2 linked regions of the Caenorhabditis elegans genome follow. The protein of the gene in region 1 interacts with the protein of each later gene in a pairwise test. Each region holds a gene or a part of one and is shown in the gene's direction. Other genes may lie near its edges.

The links.
Region 2: the proteins of spe-44 (region 1) and lit-1 interact in binary tests that used the Caenorhabditis elegans proteins (3 or more experiments, as listed by UniProt).

What each region holds. Positions count from the first base shown.
Region 1 is NC_003282.8:12,451,316-12,456,223, reverse strand, and holds spe-44 (Transcription regulator spe-44), read left to right. Parts: upstream 1-2,008; 5' UTR 2,009-2,142; coding exon 2,143-2,298; intron 2,299-2,355; coding exon 2,356-2,524; intron 2,525-2,585; coding exon 2,586-2,682; intron 2,683-2,742; coding exon 2,743-2,951; intron 2,952-3,248; coding exon 3,249-3,461; intron 3,462-3,508; coding exon 3,509-3,939; 3' UTR 3,940-4,161; downstream 4,162-4,908. Other genes in the region: smz-1 (PDZ domain-containing protein), read right to left, coding at 107-538, 593-856, 904-1,032. UniProt on the Caenorhabditis elegans protein: Transcription factor which controls spermatogenesis and sperm cell fate by regulation of sperm gene expression.
Region 2 is NC_003281.10:13,711,924-13,717,044, forward strand, and holds the start of lit-1 (Serine/threonine kinase NLK), read left to right. Parts: upstream 1-2,121; coding exon 2,122-2,261; intron 2,262-2,634; coding exon 2,635-2,753; intron 2,754-3,574; coding exon 3,575-3,748; intron 3,749-3,826; coding exon 3,827-3,928; intron 3,929-5,121. UniProt on the Caenorhabditis elegans protein: Has a role in the Wnt signaling pathway controlling the asymmetry of cell divisions during embryogenesis. Operates in the AB and EMS cell lineages influencing cell specification.

The sequences.
Region 1 (4,908 bases):
AACTATCTGTATTCGAACATATAAAACAAAATAAATCAGCAGAAGCGATTCAAACAAAATTTTTATTCGAGCTAGACGTTGCGATTTCTGGCATCTTGCTGGCACATCACTTGACCTTGCGAAGAGCTTTTCCCTCATGATCATGCCCGATTTCATGTGTTTGAGTTTGCTCGACAATTGAAACGCGACGAGCGCTTGGACCAGTAGACATAGCACTCTTTGCTGGAGGCTTCAATCCTGGAAGAGCTTGACGGTATTGAGACGCAATGCCCTTCACATCCTCGTTCATTTGCACAGATGGTGGCTGCATAAGATTGGTTGCCAATGCCTGCTTTGCCCATTGCTTGGCATCAATCGAATCGGGACGCTCGACGACGAAAGTGACTTTTCCCTTTTCTTGAATGTTCTTGACGAGAAGGTCTCTGGCAACATCCTTGTCACTGACTGGAATACCATCAACATCACACAAGTGATCTCCAAGAACGAGACACTTTTCGGCGAGTGATCCAGGATCAACACGGGAGACAAGCACACGATTCTGAAATAGATATATGAATTTCCTAGAATTTATTTGATTTGATTGATTTCTTACCTGGAAATGCTTGATTCCCAAACCAAGTTTTGGTCCATTTTGAACCCAAACAAGAGTTGCCAACTCATAGACGTATCCTTCACGGCGTTGAATGATCTTTGCACGATCTTCAGGAATATGAACACGAGCCTCCAACTCTTCGGCCTTCTTCTCATCGCGGTTCACCATAATTTTTGCACATGGAGCTGCAAAGCGAAGTGCACGGAAAAAGTCATTGCAATCTTTGCAGTTTTGCCCGTTGACTTTTTTGACTTGGTCACCAATCTATAAAACTTTTCATAGAATAATGGTTAAACTTTTGTAGAACTTACTCTCAACTTTCCTTCGGAAATAGTTCCAGCCTGGATTTTAGTGATGACAAGCTTGTCATTCGGAGTTGCACCAAGTGGTTCTCCTTCTTCCATATCGATACAGATCTCGATCATCTTCTCGGAACCCATGCTTCTGCTCCTTTGCTTCTTGGCTGCTTTGGCGATTCAAAAGACGATTGATTCAAGATTTCGGACGAAATATGAACAAAACTGACGAAATCTGGACCTTTTATGCTGAATTAATTAGGCCATAAAAAACAAGGCCCAAAGGTCATGTCACGTAATCACTTTTTCGTCTAAAAAACTCTATTTTAAAGTAAAAATATTATTTTTTGTTTCTAACAAAAAAAAATATAAAAAAATATTTTCAACTATCTGAACTTTCAAATAAAAAAAATCCGTCCCTACGAGTCTCTCATAAAAACATTGACCTCTACAAAATTTGAAATCATTAAATGTAAAAGGCAAAATCAACCTTGGAGCAATTTTACGAGCATTAAAAAATGTTTTCAACGAATTTTTTTGCTTAATTTTTCATTGTATTCTTAAACTTAAGGTGATCTGTGTGTTTTTTTTTAATGACTAATACTATCAAATGAAAGATCATAGTTAGTAACAAAATTCTCATTATTTTTTAAAAAGATCGGTAAAAACCTTTGAATTGCAATCCTAAAATTCTTGACTTTTTTATTTTTTATTTTCTTCATTTTTTCCTATCTTGTGATGTTACAATTACTGTAAAACTTTCTGATTTCAGAAGGTTCAAGGGAGGACCAATATCGTAAAATGGTGTCGCCACGCGCCGCGCGATTTCGTATGTGCGCCTTTAAGGTTACTGTAGAAAATTCTGTTCTGCAATTATTTTCACACTTTTGCTTTTTTATGAACTTTTTCACTATTTTTCGCGTTTAAAGTGTTCAACTTGTGATTTTTAATTTAAATAACTGTTGTTTAGTGTGAAAATTGTGTTTTTGTTGTAAAAAATTAAAGAAAACTCTCTGAAAAGTTGGATTCTTCCCGTTTTGAAACCATTTCTCTTGAATAAATATTCTTAAAACAAAAAATTCATTATTTATCTGCCAACGAAAATAATAAGAAATTTCAGCTTATCGGAAGTGGTACCAAAAAGATGAAAAAAAGAATGACGCGGAAATCTTTACGTGTTAACGTGAAACGTGGCGAACTTTGCAACGGCCCGCCCGACTCACGGTTTTATTCGGATTGCAAAGCAACGTCAAAATGTTCGGTGGAGACGTGAGCGCTGCTTCCGTGTTGCCGTCTCATCCGATTTCTGGATCATGTGATGGATTTCAAGCCGAAGGATCTGATCATCATCATTCCACGATGACTCCATTCCAAGAGAGTCAAAGGAATGTTTATCAAATTTTGTATGGAGTGAGTTTCAGCTACTTTTTCATAATTACATCGCTTTAATAATTCATATTTTTACAGCATCCGGCAAACGACGATTTTCCGCGCCCTATAACACCACTGCAGATCACAATTCCCGAAGGAGATGCGTCACCGACTGTGCCAGTTTCCTGTGGTGTCGTGAATGGAAAGATGCATCTCAACCTGTTCATGTGCCCTGGGATTCATCAGCCGTGTATTGAAGTGGGAAGTTCGTTATTTTATTTATTTCAGATAATTTAAAATGGGTCTCATAATATAATTATTTTCAGACGATCTTCTTTCTCCGAAGCAGTTCACAATCCGTGGCGACAAAGAGCGTCAGAAAGATTGGAAGGCGAGCATCCGTGTTGGAAGATCTTCGTTGAGGTGAGCATCAAGACAATAATCCCTTAAAATACTTCTGTTTCTCAAAACTTTATATTCTAGAACTCACATGGAAGCAATGACCATCGACTTCTACGAGCATATGAATCGATGCAGTGGAAAGTGTCAAAGCAGAAATTATGTGAATGCTCCATCTGAAGAGGTGCTTCAAGCTCGGAAGTCCAAGAGAACATCTGAAGCCGGACAACTTAAATATGAGATCGAAAATGAGATGGCTGGAAAAGAGGCGGATAATGATGATAATAGAAAGAGTACGACCGATAATTCTACAAAAGGATCTAGTTTTGACATGTTCTCTCAATATTTTTCATTAAAATTTAGGAATAATATTTGTTATGTCTAAAAATAACTTATATTTTAGTTGGAACAATCGGAAAAGTGCTCAAATATTGTCTCAAAGTTTGAGATTTGTGAGCATCTTTTCAACTATTCCAACTTAAATATAAGTTTTTTCAGATAAAGGAAACATTATTCTATATTGCTAGAACATTCTAAAACTAGCTCCTTTTGTATAACTACCAGTATTCTGGAAACATATCATTTTTCAGGCGCCAAAAAAGCTCGTGGACGTCCACGTGGAAGTGTCAACAAGCCCAGACAAATGGTCAAAATGGAGCCACAAGACGATCGTTTCTTCGAGGAGTTCTTCATTGATGCGCCACCACTGCAATCAATGTCATCTAATGAAGAGCCAACTTCTTCAAATAAGGAATCCAATGAGTGCACGCCATTCAATGATATTCTCAATTGTCTGCAGAACGGTAAGCTATTTGACATAACATTTATCACTAATTTATTTTTATTTCAGATCCTATGAATTTCTGGTCTCAAATGCAACAAACCGGTGTTATCGGTCATTTCTGCGACGACATCATTGTCAGTGCAATCAATCTGAAACAATCCGTTATGGATAATCCTGTCACTCCCACCACTGCCAACATGCTCACTCGTACTGCATTCGCTCTCGGAATTCCACCTGTCGTTGTTCATCGTGTTCAATCGATTGAACGAAACGCTTACCAACAGCGGAAACATGACGAAATGTTTAACGATATTCAATCAACTTTGGCCGAGGAGCACAGTGTCAAATATCAGCCGAGAACATCATCTTCAAGTCAAGAGAGTCTTCACACTGCTCGAGAATTTACAGAAGAGAAGGTTGAGGAACTTATTGATGTTTGCAAGTACGACGATTATCCAGAATCTGAATGTCTTCCAGGACCTAGTCATATTCAATAATTAAACAATTACGGATTTAATCCACAAACGCACAAATAGTGTGTGCATTTTTTCGTATGTATTTTAGAACTTCATGTTTTATAGAATATAATTAAATTCTGATCCAGTGGAATAGCCCACTGCTTACTTGTGAGCTTTCCCCCCTCAACATACCGGTGAAAATTGTTTGTAGTTCTTCTAGAATGTTTCATGCCTTTATAATGAAATCGTGTTCATTTGAAATTTCTATTCATGTTTTACAAACTCTTACTCGTCACAACGTAATACTGGAATATCTTTTAATTTATGTTTATTTTTTTTATATTCAATTTTCAACCTCATTCTTTTGGAATTAAGACGCCTTCATCAACAACATTATTGATTGCGTCGACTTGATTCCAAAAAATGAGTTTCACACGAATACTCATCAAAGTGTCATGGCAACAAAGAGATAGAGACGAAAATATATCATTGAGCAAACAACAAGCTTTCAGAAGGGCACAATCGGTTTTCAGATGAATAGAATTTGTGCTAATCATCTGCTAGCGGATTTTGTTCTTGAGAGAGATAATACTCCGCTCATAAGTAAACAATTGAGAATTAAATTCGCACAAAAGCATAAATCTTCATTCGCGAATATTTTTATTACTGTAGGGTCTCGCCACGAACAGATATTTTCTGTATGTGTCCCTTTAATTGAACTGTAGCTTTATCGATCGGTCGAAGGCATCAGAAAAACTTTCTTTTTAAATATATATTTACTTCATAACAATTTCAATCAATTTGTGAATTTTTTACATTCTCTTTGGATTCTCAGTGTGCGAACTGCCTCGTTCCCGCGTTGACAACGAGAGACAAGAGTCGCAGACGACTAAACATCATTACGAAACTCCGGTCTCCCTTCGACCCTTTGTTTAGCAACGAGGACTTTTGAATTGAATTGTGCTTCTTGTTTGAATATATTTTATTTTCTCCTGCTTTCTATTATCT
Region 2 (5,121 bases), on another chromosome or scaffold:
ACAATAACCTCATGAATCTGAATCTTCGAGGTATGTCTTCCTTCAAATTCGTTGGGTTTCCAATAGAAAATGTTCAATTTTTTATCACTTTCCTTTAACTTTTTCGTAATTTTTATTTGTTTTTTTTCACTTTCTTCTTCGCAGTTGCTTTTCCGCGTCCTTGTATAGTAGTCGTCAAAGCAGTCGGCGGCGTTCTATTTTTTTTTTGCTTGCTTGCTTTTGCTATGTCTCGTGTGTGCCCAATAACAACAACAACCACATATATAGCCGTCTTCTGGATATATATGTATGTGGGTGTGTGTGTGTTATGGCTTTTCTTCGAACTTTTTATTTCACTCGGAAACTTTCAAGATTTGTCTTTTCTGATGCTTTTTAGGATTCCAGGAATTTTATTCGTTCGAACTAGTAAGTATGAAGTTAGAGTTCACAGCAAATTTTCATCAAAATTCGGAAAAAAACTGGTTTTTATATCGTAGCCCTACAAAAATAGAGAAATAAAAAAATCGAAGGGTCAGATTCACCAGTGTTATTTTTCGATAATTTGTCAGAAAAATTTGGGAATTAGAAACTTTACGAAGTCTAGTGAGTTGCAAATTTTTAAGAATCAAATTTGCTAATTTTCCTTCTTATTTTCGGATCAAATTTTCATTTCATATGAAATATTTCATAAAAAACAAAAAATCAGATTTTGTAGATAGAGCCCACAATGTAAAGGAACTACAACATCTGTAGAACCGGATCTGTTAGATTTTTTCTTCGAGTTTTACAAAATTTCAGACTTCCCAAGTTTTTTGTTTGAGTTTTGGCTCAGAAATTTCGAACATAAAACTTGGAGAATCAGATTCCCGGCTTTTAGAGAAAGTTCCGATTAGGGGCACCACAAATTGAGAAAACAAACATTCTGGAGAATCAGAGTTTCGATTTTTTGTTGCCAAAAACGACATCCTTGCTCCAACTGTCAGCATGCCAAACAACAGACACCCCTGTTGAAAATTTTAAATTCCAAATGAAACGGGGATGGGGTACATCGTAGTAATAGTAGTAGTTGGTTCTTAGGGGAGCACATCTCTGCTTCTTCTTCTTCGCAGCTTTTCGGTCTTCTGCGTCCGTTTGAGTGGTCAGTCAGATGTATGAGAGTGCGTTCCGTATCTCTCTGCGTCTCCACACCCTTGACCACTCTCTACGCCGTCGTGCTCTCTGTGTCTCGCCCGACTATCTCGAATAGAAAGTGACCACTGCTACATAATATTCGAATTCGCGGGGGGGGGGGGGTCTGTCTACTGCTGCTGCTGCTGGGTGGCCGTTTTCCTTGCCACACACTCTCTCGTCTCTCTTGCTCTTTGTGCATCTCATAGTTTGCTACTCGCGATCAGCTGTAGTCAACGTTCTCATATATACAGTATGCTTTTTGTTGAAAGTTTTGCCATATTGCCACGGCAAATTTTTTGGTACTTTAGTGGTTTTTTATTTCAAATCACCACGAACTTTTATAATTTTCCTCGATATTTGCATTTCCTCATTTTTTGCCAATGAAATTGTAAATTTTTCGCATTATTCTGTATGCTAGCACTTGTTTTCCAGCTTTACTTTACTCCCTTGTCCTCTCCCCGCCCCCAAAAGTACCAGAATAAGGTGTTTCCAAATTAGTTGTCCTTATCTTTCGAGGAGCCTCGTTTTAGAAAATGTGTACTTTTCTGCTCAATTCCCGGACACTTTTTCCGGGAATTCAGAAAAAGTCTGAACCACTACTAATTCTAATGTGATATTCTGAAGTTAGTCTTCATAATGATATATGCTAGCAATTTATATAACTAATTTTTCACATGGCGCACACATATCCTCATATCAGAACATATCAGAAGTTCTTGTTATTTTCCCGTTCCCCAAAAGTAACAGAGTAATAAAAAATTTCGAAATCCCGAGGGACGGTCCTTGGGGAGGTCGGGGTCATCACCCTCAACGTACATGGTACCGGGGGCCTGGTGGCGACAGGTAGTGAGGTCTCTCTTCTCAGTCCTGTTAGCACACACACAGTGGAGGGGTGCGTGCGCGCTCGCTCACTCGCCTACAGATCCGAGATGAATCGTAGACGCGTATTGAGGAAGACGGTGTTGGGTGGTGATGGTGTCGTGGGGAAGGGGGAAGGATGCGTACTATCTCTATATTTCTCGAGAACAAGAAGAAGATGATGACGATTCACTTTCCTTCTACTCGTCTCAGAAAGACACGGAGGACGAATTCTGCGGGTGCCTTTTCCCCGAGTAAATTTTCACATGTTTACAAAAAATGTTCATTATGAGCCTCTGTATTGCTTAAATTTGTCAATCATAAAATATTTTAAATAGGCAGTTCTCCTGAAAATAATACATTGAAAAATTTCGTTATTAAACCATTTTTGGTTTTTTTGTTGGAAATTTTTTTGTTGGCTTGATAAATTTGGCACAATTTCGTTTTCCGAGAGGAGAACAACTTTTATTTCCTTCTTCATCTATTTCCTCCTTTTTTTCAGAATTCTCTAGAAAAAAAACAAAAAAAAAAGAAGGCGTCCTCTCTCGTCATGAATGAATAACACTAGTTCCGCCTCACTTTTTCATGTTCTTTTTTCTTCTTTCTTTTTTCTTTCTTTTTTTCAAGTCCAGAAATTCCAGGATCAAGCAGTTCATCCGGCTGTAGTTCGTCATCTACAGAGCTCTACGATCTTGCAGCTGCACACGCCGCACTTATATCCCGACAGCAACAGATTCTCAGTCAGGGTGTGTTTTTGTGGAAAAATTAAAACAAATTGAGTTTTACATGTCCGGAAATGTGTGTCTCGCCACGAACTTTGTGGAATTCGTTGGGAGACCCTATTGTTTTTTTTAATAAGCTAAGAAATTGAGATTTTCGCTCATTCATGTGAAAAAAATAACGCTCGCTAATCTTTGTATTAGAATTAGAGTTGATTTGCTTTTATAATCCAGTTCAATTTGTCTACAAATTTTCTTTTTAAACAATTAAACTAGTTTGGAAAATGGATAATTAATTTTTAAACCTAACCGTTGAATTATTGATCGAAAAATGAAAATTAATTAAAAGTACTGTAAACTTTAAAGGAGCATACCTTTAGTTTCGTACTGGGTTCCACCACGATTCGAGAAATCATACATTTTATAATATTTTCTCGATTTTCGTGCCTAAGATATCTTTTTTTAATATTTAATTGAAACAAATTTTTTATTTTAAAATGTTCATTCTAACCGAAATTTCCAAACCCCATTGTTTGCTCCCGAAACACGAATTTTCAAATAGTTCAGTACTGTAAGATTTAAAGGCGCCCAAACTGTCTCTTGCAGTAGGTCTCGTCACGATCGGAGAAATTCTAAAAAAGTTTTTGTTTTTTCGTTTCGAATTTTTGTTTTTCTGCTCAATTTCTTCGCTTTGTTAGCTAAAAAATGTGTAAAATTTATCATTAAAAAAAACAAAGTTTCAACAATTTTCAGTACCTCTTCATATAATTCACATGAAATTGTCTAATTTTTAGCCAATTTCAGAGGATTTTCCGAAAAACTCAATAATTAATCAAGAATTGTTTCAGCAATCCCAATAATACCGGAACACCAGCTGGCCGCCGTCGCCGCTCACCATCAACATCACCAGCAGCTTCACCCATCGGTACAGTACCAGCTCGTCGCTGCCGCCACCCATCACAATCATCATCAGCCGCAAGCGGCACAACCACACTATTCAGCAGTTGTGCCACGATCTGACGGTTTGTTAAATAATGTTTTAAACGTTGAAAATTGTTTTTTTTTTCAATAAAAAAGTAATGTTTTTTTTAATTTTTCAGTAATACAACAACCACCACACTTTGCTCTGCACCACCATCTTCAGAATTTGGTTCAACAGCAGCAGCAACAGCAGGCTCACCATCATCATCAGCAATTAGTTGGTGAGTCGACCGATTTTTTTTCACGAAAACAAAAAATTAAAAAATAATTACCGAAAATCCGGAAAAAAACATTAAAAAATGAACGGAACAATTTCCCTTTTTTTAAAAGTTAACTTATGAAATTTTTGAAAGATAAAAAAAAATATTGGGAAAAATTTTCAAGCCTCAAAAATCTGGTTTTTAAAACTAAAAACTAATTTTAACAATAGTTTCAAATTTTTCTGTAAAAACCAAAATTCCCAACAAAATTTTTTTGAATCATGATATTTGTAAAAATCTATTTTCTTGATTTGTTAACAAACTTTCGAACCATTTCCCTTTTTGTTTACTTTTTAATATCTCAAAGTTCACGTGTAGTTCTGTTAGCCGGTCTTTACAAATTTAATCAGTTGCTGCCTGTCAAAGTGCACAAGTCCTTCTACTACTTTATTTTCCATCTCCTCTACCGTAATGTCCTTGTCTCCCCTGAATGACCTACAAAGAACACACTCCGCTCTTTCTAGAAAAGACTGCTTTCTCTGTTAAAGCACATGTTTTTTGTTGTTGTTACTCTCCGTCATCAGCTTCGGGGTGTTTTTTTTATTCTGGAATTCTTAGAATTTTCTCAGTTCACCGTGACTCACTTCTCAGAACTACTACGATTTTCTAACAGAAATCTGAAAGACATTTATTGCGAAATATGATGACTAAAAAAGAGATCAAGTTCGGCTTTTTTGAGCCATTTTTTCCGAATAAACCCGTTTTTTTTAATGTTCTGAATTTTCTATCATTTCCAAAAAAAAATATTGTGAAAAAAATTTTTATGATGCTCTTACTCTTTGCCATTTAAATTGGAACACTAATTGTCAATTTTTCAGACATTTTTCCGCGTAGAAATAAAAATTGGCCTATAAATTGTTCGTTTAACAATTAATTACTTGATAGAAAAACGATTCTTCCTTTTAATTTTTTTTTGAATAACGGAAAATTATATATAAAAAATGCCTATTTTCTTTTCTGAAATTTAGTATGAAAACCAGTTAAACACTACTTAGTTAATCTTTATTCGATATATCTTTATCAATCTGAAATTCACTAACGATTCATTTATGACGCTCAAACATGTGAACTCCGTTGATCACATACACACAAATTCACGTTATGACGAACATAACACTAGATATGTCGAAAAACGCATATACACAGATTATATT